Linked DNA regions of Schizosaccharomyces pombe. The protein of the gene in region 2 interacts with the protein of the main gene of each other region in a pairwise test. Each region holds a gene or a part of one and is shown on either strand. Other genes may lie near its edges.

What was found.
Region 1: the proteins of hom3 (region 2) and fkh1 interact in a two-hybrid assay, tested with the Schizosaccharomyces pombe proteins (one large-scale study listed by BioGRID).

The regions. Positions count from the first base shown.
Region 1 is NC_003423.3:629,885-635,720, forward strand, and holds fkh1 (FKBP-type peptidyl-prolyl cis-trans isomerase Fkh1), read right to left. Parts: upstream 2,794-5,836; 5' UTR 2,759-2,793; coding exon 2,732-2,758; intron 2,550-2,731; coding exon 2,512-2,549; intron 2,384-2,511; coding exon 2,364-2,383; intron 2,259-2,363; coding exon 2,045-2,258; intron 1,998-2,044; coding exon 1,958-1,997; 3' UTR 1,813-1,957; downstream 1-1,812. Other genes in the region: C1-5,6,7,8-tetrahydrofolate (THF) synthase, trifunctional enzyme Thf1, read left to right, coding at 1-1,287; SPOM_SPBC115.03 (gfo/idh/mocA family oxidoreductase), read right to left, coding at 4,460-5,566. UniProt on the Schizosaccharomyces pombe protein: PPIases accelerate the folding of proteins. It catalyzes the cis-trans isomerization of proline imidic peptide bonds in oligopeptides. Has an important role in sexual development and serves as the target for rapamycin action.
Region 2 is NC_003423.3:3,706,388-3,713,384, reverse strand, and holds hom3 (aspartate kinase), read right to left. Parts: upstream 4,140-6,997; 5' UTR 4,114-4,139; coding exon 4,001-4,113; intron 3,630-4,000; coding exon 2,183-3,629; 3' UTR 1,952-2,182; downstream 1-1,951. Other genes in the region: ppp1 (pescadillo-family ribosome biogenesis protein), read left to right, coding at 148-1,781; sac11 (inositol polyphosphate phosphatase), read right to left, coding at 4,857-6,653. UniProt on the Schizosaccharomyces pombe protein: Phosphorylates aspartate, the first step in the biosynthesis of amino acids that derive from aspartate (the aspartate family of amino acids), including methioinine and threonine, the latter of which is a precursor to isoleucine.

The DNA.
Region 1 (5,836 bases), 3.1 Mb from region 2:
AAATTTGCTAGGCTGGATATTGAACCTTCAACTATTTCATGGAATCGTACTTTGGATGTTAACGATCGCTTTCTTCGTAAAATTACTATTGGAGAGAATCCTACGGAAAAGGGTTTCACTCGCCAAACCGGTTTTGATCTTTCTGTCGCTAGCGAATGTATGTCTGTCTTGGCCTTGGCTACTGACTTGAAAGATATGCGTGAGCGATTAGGCCGCATGGTTGTTGCCAGCAACAAATCTGGTGAACCTGTTACCGCTGATGATTTAGGAGTTGGTGGTGCCTTGACAGTCTTGCTCAAAGACGCAATTAAACCAACACTTATGCAAACGTTGGAGGGTACTCCTGCTCTTGTTCATGCTGGCCCTTTTGCAAATATCAGTATTGGTGCCTCTTCCATTCTGGCTGATCGCATTGCCCTCAAATTAGCGGGTACCGAAGTGGATGAGGATGCTAAGAAAGAAGCTGGATATGTTGTAACTGAGGCAGGATTCGCTTCCGATATCGGAATGGAAAAGTTCTTTAATATCAAGTGTCGTACTTCAGGTTTAAAGCCTGATGCCATTGTTATCGTTGCAACTGTTCAAGCATTGAAGTTACACGGCGGCGGTCCTCCTGTTGGACCTGGTAAACCTATCCCTGAGGTTTATAAGCGCGAAGACGTTGATTTGGTTCGTAAAGGATGCGCTAATCTGGCTAAGCACATTAGTAATGCACGTAAGTACGGTTTACCCGTTGTGGTTGCAATCAATAAGTTTTCTTCCGATTCTCCTAATGAAATTAGTGCCATTCGTGAAGAAGCCCTTGCTGCCGGTGCAACTGATGCTGTAGACTCTAACCACTGGGCCGAAGGTGGTAAAGGAGCTCTAGGTGTTGCACGTGCTTTGATAAATGCTTGCGAGAATGTGGATTCTGAATTCCGCCTCCTTTACGATGTACACGAGCCCATCGAAAAGAAGATTGAAATTATTGCGAAAGAAATGTATGGTGCTGACGGCATTGAATTGAGTCCCTTGGCTAAAGAACGTCTTGAAACGTTTACTAAACAAGGATACAACAACTTACCCATTTGCATTGCCAAAACACAATACAGTTTATCGCACGACCCAGATCTAAAAGGTGCCCCTACTAATTTTACCGTGCCAATTCGTGATATGCGTTTGAGTGCTGGTGCTGGATTCATTTATCCTTTAGCAGCAGCCATATCTACTATTCCTGGATTACCTACCAAGCCAGCCTATTACAATATTGATATCGCAGAAAATGGTGATATTGTTGGGCTGTCTTAATTCGCCAATGCCTGTCTCTATCAACCCCTTTTGCTTTGTTCTGAGAACAAGGCAATGGAAAACAGTTGTTCAACCAATAGTTTTCTTGTTTCTTTCAAATATCTACTATTAAAATTTAAGCTCAGAATGATCGACATATACAACTCTAGCAAGTGCCGTATATGCCTATATTTTCAGGCCCATATTTAGTATTAGCAATGTTAGCATAATTTGCTAGTTCATTGCATGATACTTATCCTTTTTGGAGTAAAAAACGTTAAAAAACTGTTGCTTCTTTGACAATCGTATAGAATTCCTGTTTTAACTTTCATACTGTTCAACCTAATGAAATAAACCGATCATACCATATGATTTTTTTCTTGATGGTTTAGTTGAAAACTGAACGTGTAATTTAACTATTTGAAATACAGTCGGAGAAGTTTGATTCAACTTATGAAAGTGAAATTTTTCAGAAGTAAATATTTCTCTCTTTAGCAGTAATCTATTGATCGTAGGCATCATTATCGCTATACGAAATATATCATAGTGCAAGAAAATATAAGATATTAAAAAAAAAAAGATATATTTCTAAACTGGGAAACGTTATTATACTTAAAACACTAAAAAAATTGTGGAATAAGTAACAACCGCTAGTAAGATGCATGTATCATAAAAAGCGAAACACTAGCATTTAAGCCTTCTTATCATTGATAGCAAGCAACTCAACATCGCTATATAGGTTAAAAATAAATCACGAAAAATGTACATTTGTACTTACAAAAGAAGAGTGCTGTTAGGAGGAATCAATCCAGGGAAACCACGTGGGCCATAGCCATAATCAGGAGTGATAGTAAGCTTAGCTTTCTCACCCAAACTCATTTTGGGTACTCCTTCGTCCCATCCGCGAATTAATTGACCAACGCCAATAGTGCAAACAAATGGGGATCCACGGTCAACAGATGAATCAAACTTTTTACCATTGGTTAAAGTACCTATCCCACGGTTATGTCAGCAATGAAATATTCGTTTTGGAAAGGAGAAAACAACACAATATAAAAATTGATTTGCTAGAATAATTCGTCGTAGATTTCACATACCGGTATAATGCATGGTGATTCTAAATGGTGTTAGTAACTGCATTTAGAATAAAATTGTAAGCAAATTCACTATAGACCCTAAGAAAAGGAGAAGCAAAGCTCCTTTGGTAACAAAGAGTTAAAGTGAAATCACACATTAAATACATACCTGTCACCAGGTTTGGGAAAGTCTTGACCATTTCCGGACTTTTTTAAAGGTTAGAATTTGTATGAAAGGAATAATGTAGAGACAAGGACATCAGGAATGTGACAAATTAAGGAAATGCAAATCAGTGGTGAACCGACTAACACGGATGAATTGTTTACAAACATAACCAGAGAAGATATTTGTAGATTCAAAAGAAATTACCGATTTTTTCAACACTTACAGAAATAACTTGCTTTTCGACACCCATATTTAACAGATTTCAAATAAAATAAGTGGTTGGTTAATGAGCAAACCCGAAAGTAGTAATGGAAGATGTATATGGAATAACTTGCCCAGTTTACCGCATTCTTTCATTCTGTGATGTAAACTCGTTATGCACTTCTCTATCCGGTTTACCGATTAGTAAACTGAAAATTCCTTACTTATCGCTATACCATGTACTCTAGTATTATTCATTCTGCATACTATAACTTCTTAGAGTGGGTTTAACAATATATCAAAATACACCATCTGACTTTATTCTAGTCGCACTTACATTAGTTATTACATTCAAGTAGTATAATAATAATTGCTTTGTCTTATTCGTATAAGAAAACAGCATATTGTAACGAAGCACACACCACAGTTTACTGTTTTCTTAAGTAAATACTGAGCTATGTAGCTGGTTTGAAGCTTGTTTACCACTTTTCGTTGATAATCACTATTCAATAAACAATAAGAACTATAAACCTTTATTGAGAAAATAGAAAAAAGAAGTATTCTTAAAAACAAAGATTAAAATAAGGCGCACCGAATATATTCGAACAGTAAGTTATTTGACACATGTAGCTCTCATAGCAGTATTTAATAATTTGCTTGTAATCGTATCAATCATCCCGAAATTCAAAAGAAATAGGATTGTAAATTACGGACACTCAATAATAAAATTTTTATATAATACGATGGAATAGAATGAGCAGCACAATTGTTTAACTTAAGTACTGAGTAAATATATGGACTCTTAATGTAACAAATGAGGGTAAACGCACAATTTAAAGCATATTTTCTAATTTTATTGAAACGGATTTTGATGAAAGCTAATAAATAACTTTATAAATCTTTTTTAGTTGAACTGGCGATCTAGTGGTTAATGAAAGGCTGGGACATTCAATTAAATTTCAGTTAAACTTATTGTCAGAACGAAAAATAAATTGTTCATCGTAAGAGAGTTATAAGATAGATTTACTTTTATTTCCGAAAACACTTAGTACATGCTGTGAAATTAGCATGGAGGATGAACAGAATGGCAATAACCGAGTACCATAAATCATACTTCTCGTAAAAGTATGGTTTGTTTGATTCAATCTTTATTATACAGTATCCTAATCAAAAAGCTCTCAAATATAGTTTGGGTGTCTGTAAGAAAAGCATATTTCACTTCATATTGTTTTGGTATACCTATATACTAAATAGAAAATCAATGCATTTACCAATTTTTTTAGCTCGACAAGAAGAATCAATAGTCAGAATAGAGTGTTGAAATTGTGAAAACTTCGTTAATACGCAAACAATATCATATGAAACGAGCATTAAAATTTTAATGCTGCTTAAACAGATAATTACAGAATAGCAACAGTGAATCTTTTCACTAGTATGACTTTATTGTCTTTTGTACGTTCAGTCCCAGTGGTCGTCCACTTATTGGAAAGGAGCTTTAAATATGAAAACAATATTCCCTTCATTTGAACATTATATGATTTTGGTAATCCCATTTCAAATTCTTTAAACGGTTTCTAAAACATGCAATTCATTACCATTGATTATGGCTATGAGATGTTATAACGCAATTGTTAAAACCAAATATTCACTATTTTAATTCTAAGATCACTTCTCATTTAGTTTAAAGAAAAACAAGCAAGGATTTTCACACTGAAGGGTTACTTCATTTAATAAAATTGTAAATATTCTTTTACAACTGGATCGAGCTAGAAGATTCAGAACTTTTATATGCAGCCTCCATTATTTTTTCTACTGCCAAAACTTGATCAGATTTGATAGGAAACTCGTTAGCTTTTTTTAAGATTTCCTCAAAAACCGCATCGTAGAAGTCCCGGTAATTTCCCTGAACAGTAGGAACCGTAATTTTAGTTGGTTCAGGCAAAGCTTTCACGTCAGCATCCAAAGGAACAGTCCATAAGTTTCCATAGAGCTCAAATCTATCAGTTCCAAATCCATGATCGTTAGGCTTCATTCCTGAATGTAATTGTGACTCTTGTGGGTCAAACCCAAATTTCATAAAAGAACCACGAGTGCCCTTAATACAGAATCGCATTTCACAGCCGCATGACACATTAGTAGAAGACAGAATTACGTTGATTGGAAGTTTGTTTCCTTTAGCAGGGTAATGAAGAATAATACGAAAATAATCTTCCACCTCCAAAGGAGGAATTTGACGTTGAGCTTCCAGCTTGGCAGTAACAGAGTAAGGCGTGCCAAACAAGGAGACTGCTTGATCAATTAAATGTGAGCCTATCCCGTACACCATTCCGTTCCCGGGTCTAGGTTCATCTTTCCAACTTCCAGATTTTCGACCCAGACGGTATCGATCAAAGTGAGATTCGAATTCAACAACTTGACCAAGTCTTCCGCTTTCTATTATTTTTTTAGCAGTCAGAAAATCACCATCCCACCGACGATTTTGATAAATTGCCAGTAGTAGGCTTTTTGATTCGGCAAGTTCATAGAGCTCTTTGGCTTCCTCATAGGTAGGAGTAAACGGCTTTTCACAAACCACATGCTTACCAGCGTTCAAAGCTTTTTTTACAATTTCAGAATGAACATTGGGAGGTAGGGAAACTACGACCAACTCAATATTGACGTCGGCTAATAATTCATCCAAGTTTGTATAAACCAAAATATTGGGATATGCAGAGCGTGCTTTGGATTGTGTAACTGTTGCCCTACGTTCTAAACATGCATAAATTTCAAATTTTGAAGGTAAAGCTTCAAGGAATGGGAAATGAAAAACAAAAGCTGACACACCAGTTCCAAGCACTGCAGTCTTAATCGGAGGCATAGTTTAACTTAATCAAAGTAATGATTTGTAAGCTGTAGAATACAGAAATTTTTTTAATACGAGAAAATATCGAACCGCTAAAGGAAGAATTTTACTAACGACAGTGTAAGCATATGATCAGATATTAATAATCGGTAATTATAAAATTTTAACCGAATGAAGGGATCCATTTATCAAACATAATCATCATTTAGCTAAACATATGCTAAAATGCATTCATGTGAATACTTGAAAGAAAATGTTTGAAATCAGTCTATTTTACGAACTTTG
Region 2 (6,997 bases):
TAATAGCATCAATTTTTACCGGAATCATAGCTATCTGAACATGGACGTTTGGTATAAAAAGCATTTTCCGAATGGTCAATTTTATCATGGGCTAGTCTTTTTTTGATGAACTAAAAGAATGAAATTATGTACTAATAAATATAATAGATTATACTAAGGATATCCAGTATTTGTTACATGAGCCTATTGTACAGAAGTTTCGCGAGTACAAAGTGTTCGCTCGCAAGCTTAGCAAAGCATTGGGAAAAGGGGAATTAGAAACTGCTAAACGTTTAGAGGCCAGAAAACCCACTTATTCTTTGGATCATATCATTAAAGAGCGTTACCCAACCTTCCATGATGCCTTGAAAGATATTGATGATGCTCTTAGTATGCTGTTCTTATTTTCAACTATGCCTGTTACCGACAAGATTGGTGCCGCTACTGTCGCTAATTGTGAAAGATTATGTGCTGAATTTCAACACTATGTAATTCGGTCAAATTCCCTTCGTAAAGCTTTCCTCTCTATTAAAGGAATTTATTATCAGGCCGAGATTTTTGGTGAGCAAATCACCTGGATTGTTCCCTACAAATTTGCTCAATCTGTTCCTACCGATGTTGATTTTCGTATCATGCACACTTTTTTGGAATTTTATCAAGCACTTATGGGGTTTGTAAATTTCAAGTTATATAATACCTTGGGACTTCGTTATCCCCCTAAGATTGATGTTGCTAAAAGCGAATCTGCCGCTGGTTTAGCAGCTTATGAGTTAGAGGAGTCTTCTTCCTTACCCGCTATCGTCCATGGTAATAACAAAAATGCTCGTAAGAATATTGCTACTTTAAAAAGTAAAATAAGAGATATTGTGAATAGTGATGCGAACGTCGTTGAGCAGTCGGAAAAAACTACTGAGGATGCTGATGAGGAACCTGAAACGGAGGAAAACTTAGATGAGTTTAAACCAGCTGATGGTGCAGATAATGAGGATTCCAAAAGCCTAGTATCACATATTTCATCATCTAATACCTCGTTGTTTTCTAATTTTACTTTTTTCCTTTCTCGTGAAGTCCCCCGTTTTTCTCTGGAATTTGTGATTCGTGCCTTTGGTGGTAAAGTTGGATGGGATCCAATTCTCGGATCAGGTTCTCCATTTTCAGAATCTGATCCTGTGATTACTCATCATATATGTGATCGTCCTCATATTTCACAGAAGTACGAAGGTAGGATATATATTCAACCACAATGGGTATACGACTCTATCAACAAAGGAATCTTGGAAAGGACAGACTTGTATGCCTGTGGCGCTACGCTCCCTCCTCATCTTAGTCCATTTGTTAAAGTAGGTGAAAATGACTACGATCCTGAAGCTGAACTTTCTGCTGAAGAGAACGACGATGTTTCCGAAGCTCTTGATGATAATATTTCTGGCGAAGCAGTGCCCATAAGTAAGAAGAATGACGAGCCTGAAAATGTTGAACAAATTGATGACGCTGAAGAGGAAGACTTAGAACATCAACGAGAGCTGGAGGCAGAAGCAGGCGGTGTCGCTTATTCTGAATATGTTAAACAGAATTCTAAGTCCGCGAAAAAGACTAAGAAGCGTCAACGTGATACTTTGACTGCAGAAGAAAAAGAAGAAAAAGAGGCAAAGGAGTTATCCAAAATGATGATGAGTAATAAACAGAGAAAGCTTTACAGTAAGTTGAAAAACGAAAATAGCAAAAACGAAAACTACAACAATGCGCTTCGCAATCGGAAGAGGGATATTGAAAAGAGGAAAAAATTAAAGGTTGAAAACTAGGTTTAATAAACAGTAATCATAGTAATAGATTATTTTGGGTCATTTACTTTTTGTTTCTTAAAATGAGTTCATTGTATTTTACTGTATCCATGGATTAGGTTCGTGTTCAATTTAATTGAAGCTGATCGTTTTTATATAATAAATACACTTTTGCTTAACATTTTTTCGACTGGGAGATAAAGAAGATGAATATCAATTTTTGAGATATATTATAAAATATTAATTTTATGTAGTCAATATTTATTTATAAACGTACAAATAATAATAATGAGTAAAATAAAACTCACGGTAATTTTAAAATAGAGAATGTAAAATATTTAAAGACAAAAAGAACAAAAAAATGAAGGCAAGACAACACTTTTTTTTTATTTTTTAAATTGACTTTCAAGGTTACAGTACGTTTAAGCACTGTAAAGCCAAGGCTTTTCAACCAACATCGAGGCCTGTGACGGAACTTCATGTAAAGCTAAGGGTTCAAGCAATTCTTTATGAATAACGTTAAGAGCCTTTACAGCCATTTTCTCGTCAATAACGCATGAAATGTTGATTTCACTAGCACCTTGACTAATCATCTCAATGTTGATTTGGGCTTCAGCAAGTTTGCAAAACATACGACCAGCGTAACCGGTAGTGTTTCTCATGTGCTTACCAACAAGAGATAGAATAGCTAAACCATGGAGAATATCAAGCGTTCCCAATCGACGCAATTCAACGAATGCCTCATGCATATTACCGTCATCAGACTCTTCGTAAAGCGCCATTGAGACGTGAACTTCTGAAGTAGTAATCAAGTCAACAGCCAATTTGTACTTATCAAGAATGGCAAATATGGAAGCTAAGAAACCATGAGCAGATATTTTACGATTCGATTGAATATTAATAACCATAATGGTGTCTTTAATAGTAACCGCGGTAGCGCCTTTGTTAGCGAGGCTAGCAGAAATATCATCGGGCATAATTTTAGGAGGATGAGGAGGTGTAGCACTACCATGACGTGAAATTGTATCAGGAAAAATAACAGTTCCCTTTCCACGTGGGTTGCCAACGTTTTTAATTCGGATAGGAATACGAGCGTGAACAACCTGGGACATAGTGAAGGGATGGATGACTTCACTACCGTAATAAGTAAGTTCAGCAGCTTCTTCAGGTGTGATGAGAGGAAGAAGTCGAGCAGTTGGAACCTTACGGGGATCAGCTGTGAAAATGCCATCAACTTCCTTCCATATTTGAAGTTCGTCAGCATTAAGACCAACAGCTAATAAAGCAGCGCAAAAATCGGTGTAACCACGGCCAATTTGCGACAAAAGACCACCCGGTACCATACCAAAAAAGCCAGTAACGACAGGTACTTTATTTCCAACAGCGGTAACTTTACTAGCAAGTTGGGAAGCAAGATATGCGTAAAAGGATGCATCAAGATTCCTCCACTCTCTTTGCTCGTCAATTATATGACTCATATCAATAAACTCAGAATCGATCCCTTGATCTTTCAAAACTGCCGCCATAAATCGGCAACTTAAACGCTCCCCCATGCCAATCACGAGATCACGAGTACGAGGAGAAACCTCGGAAAGAACTCTAATAGCATTTAGGTACTGTTCCAATTCAACGCAGTCTGCATGAAAAGCATCAATAAGTTCGTCTTGAATGCCAACATCCTGGATGAAATCACGAGCAGCTTGAACATGATCAGTTTCAATAATACGAACCAAATCATGCACAGAACCTACAGCAGGTCGCAATGCTGCTTCTGTTGCTCTAATAAGTCTAGTAGTAGTGCCTTCTGCTTTGGTATCTGTGCTGCGAGCAGAGCATACCAATGCTACGCGCTTAGTACTTAGGTATTCCCTAAATAAATTATTTAGTAATTTGTAATTTAACGGTCTAAAATGGTCGACAGTTTGTAGAGGAGTAAGCATTTAAATATATAAGTCTCATATCGATAGAAAGTGGAAAGAGTAACCAAAACCTCTTTTATCTCCTTTCTCTCATTTTGAATTCGATTCAAAAAAACCTAATTAGCCAATATTCCCAAGCATAATTCAACACATGAAATATCTTATTTTTAAATAATTTCGGGCATTCTAGCATGAAAACTCCAATCTAACGCACATTCAGGAAAAAGTTCTCTTGACTTCTTAAATATTTTTGAACCTGCTAGATTCAGACGATGACCATACTCCTCGAACCATCATATAAACTGTAAACAAAATACTCACTTTGCAACATCAACAGCAATTTTAATTGGGAACTTTCCAACACTGGTTCCACCGAATTTTTGAACAACCCACCCTTTGCTAGGATCGTTTTCTATATTCTTTGCAATTGACATGGTCAATGTTTTAGTTGGCACTGCTCAAGTGTGGAATTCAACGTTTCCGATATTTAGATCAATTCACAGATGAAAATCTCGATAGCGTTGCCACCTTCTATTTTGCAATTTTTTTTACAATTGCGTTAATTTGTTTTGCGTTGGGAATTTGCATGATACTTGGTTGCTTCACTATATTTACCATTTAATTTTAAATCAGATATGCATTGCAATGAGTATGTTAATATGAAGACTTTGAACGCTGAGTTGTCGGCGTTTTGTTGATTTGAAGGATACTTTATAGAAGATGAATGTGAATACATTAGATTATTTTACAAAAGTCTATATTTGAATCGTATGCTTATTGTCGACAAATAATGATTTCAAATTATATATCGCCCGAATTGTAAAGTTACTATTAACCTTAGTCTAAACTTGCTGCAGCGCTACAAACCCAAAACAGTATATATTTAATGACTGCATAAGCTGTCCGCGTAACACTTTATGTTGTCTAGGAATAAATTTCAGTGTACGGGCATAAGTTTGTACATTGTTATTACTCAAACAAAAGGATTTCACTTCTGTAGCACGCAAAGGAAAATAATGCTTTAATAAATGTGTTATTACGATAAATAATCGTATATATTTCATCCGATGAAAATCCTTACCATCGACAAATCAAGTACCCAAAGGTTACAAGAGTACAACTATCAACGATAAGTATATACAAGGAAACTCATAGTTTAACATAAGAATATCAGTATTCAAACTTTATGCTTCGAAGCGAGTTGGCGGTTAATTACAAATACCCTGCCTTCTGGAGTCATATCAGAGCGTAAAAAAGAAGGAAGAAGTAGCCTAGGCCAGTTGATAAACTGGAGTCCGTGGGCAAAACAGTAATAAAGAGATGCAACTATTCCCAAAAATGTCAGGATCAAAAGAATTGAAGGTGGAAGGATCGTAGAAGAAGATCTAGAAAACAATGTCATGAAGAAAAGGATTAAACATGCCAATAATATATAAGGGACACAACGAATAGTAAGAGGACGTAAATCTAATCTATATCGGAAGTTAACATCGGGTCTAAACTGTCCAAGTACTAAATCATAAGCATCTTGACGTGCTCCATCATAAAAATTATTTAAAATATAACGTTTAGCAGAGTTAACAAAATCGTTAAAAGCGCCTTTTCGAGTTCGAATACCGGTTCTAGTAAAATCGGTTTTCAAAGCTCCTGTACCAGAATAAGAAAGACTAATGTAATCTGCATTATCAGACCAAATGTTGCAAAAAATGTTATCAAGAGGAATGACGGAACGAAGGGGATGGGTAGCACCTATAATTCCGCATTTACGAAGTTGATTCGTAAGCACCCAGCGACCTATACAGCTTTGGACCACATTGGTTCTATCAAGACAATCCATGCAGTTGGAGCGTACAACGCCATTCTGACGAGATAAAACACGGTACTTTTGAGTGTCTAATGTAGTGTAGCCTTGCTCTTCTAACTCGGGTTGTATTTCATTTAAAAGGAGTGAAACCCGGTCCCACCTCATATGGCTACATTCTTTATGAAAGTCAAAATAATGATAATGGATATGGGGATTATCCAAACGACGTATAACATTTTCATATAACTGTTTAATAGGAAGCTCATGTCCTTTACAGTTGACCAAATTAACTACAACCTGGTCACCGTATATGGATATTTGCTCGTCGAAATGCTTTTTTGCAGCGGCTGCAGCCATTGAAGCAGAATTTGCAACCATCAATGGTTTATAGCGAAGATTATTAACCTCTGCCCAAAAAGCAGGAACACTACCGCGGGTCTGAACATGTGAATAAGTGACCTCTGACTTTTCGTCTGAAACGATAGTAATCTGCTCAGTTTCATTGAAGTTGGCGGGGTTTCCATTCTCGTCTAAACCTCTGGTAAAATATCTAGTACCGGCGCGTTGTTTAGAGCGTCGAGATATTAATGCTAACGTGATTGTTCGTCCCTTAACAATAGTGGAAGCAGAAGTGATGAAGCCGTAAATCATTGGCGTAATGAAAAGTGATACTTCAGAATGGGCACCGATAAGATCAATGAAATCTTTACTAGCAAACTCGTTCCAAAAAAATCGTTTATCACTTCGAAGAATAGGTGAGGCCTTTCCCTCATCCGTACAAGAACGTTGTAGGGAGTTAGTAAGGTCCCATGTGTACGAGAAGTAAAAAGGTCCTGTTTTCAAATGATTTTGTAACAAATTGTATAAATCCAATTCATCTTGATCGTCAGCTAGTAGGTTACGATAGGGAATAACTTCAAATTTATGAACACGATATATTTTATGTCCCAAAATTTGGGCTGCACTAGATTTTTCTGTAGCTAAAATAAGATATTTATCTTTTTTCAGCTTGATTGAACCAAACAATGTGACACTATTTTCTTTGCTGCGGGCAACTGGTTTCAACTCGTCCGGCTCAAAACTAACTGCACCACTTTCTCGGTCAATTGTTAAACAACAATCTTCTCGACGAAGCTTAAATTGCTTCTCGTTTGCTTCAAACTGAACCATGAAGAAATTTTCTAAAGTTTTTGTAGGATAGATACCAAGATCTGTGAAGTTGATGGTTGGTAGACGGCAGACAACGAACCTGCTTACTGCTGTACTGTAACATACGGTTTTCTATGCTAAGTCATGTGGTATTATCGTAGATAGAATAAATGACATTTTCACTATGATTTATCAATTACTAAATTTGCTAGTAAGTATCCATCCTCAATAAAATATTATACTACAATGATCATATTGAAGGTCGCTGAATTATTCCTAGGGTATCTGGTGTTTGTTTAAATATTGAGAATAAATATCTCATTGACATCTTAAAATGTAAAATAATTAACATGAATACTTTCAAA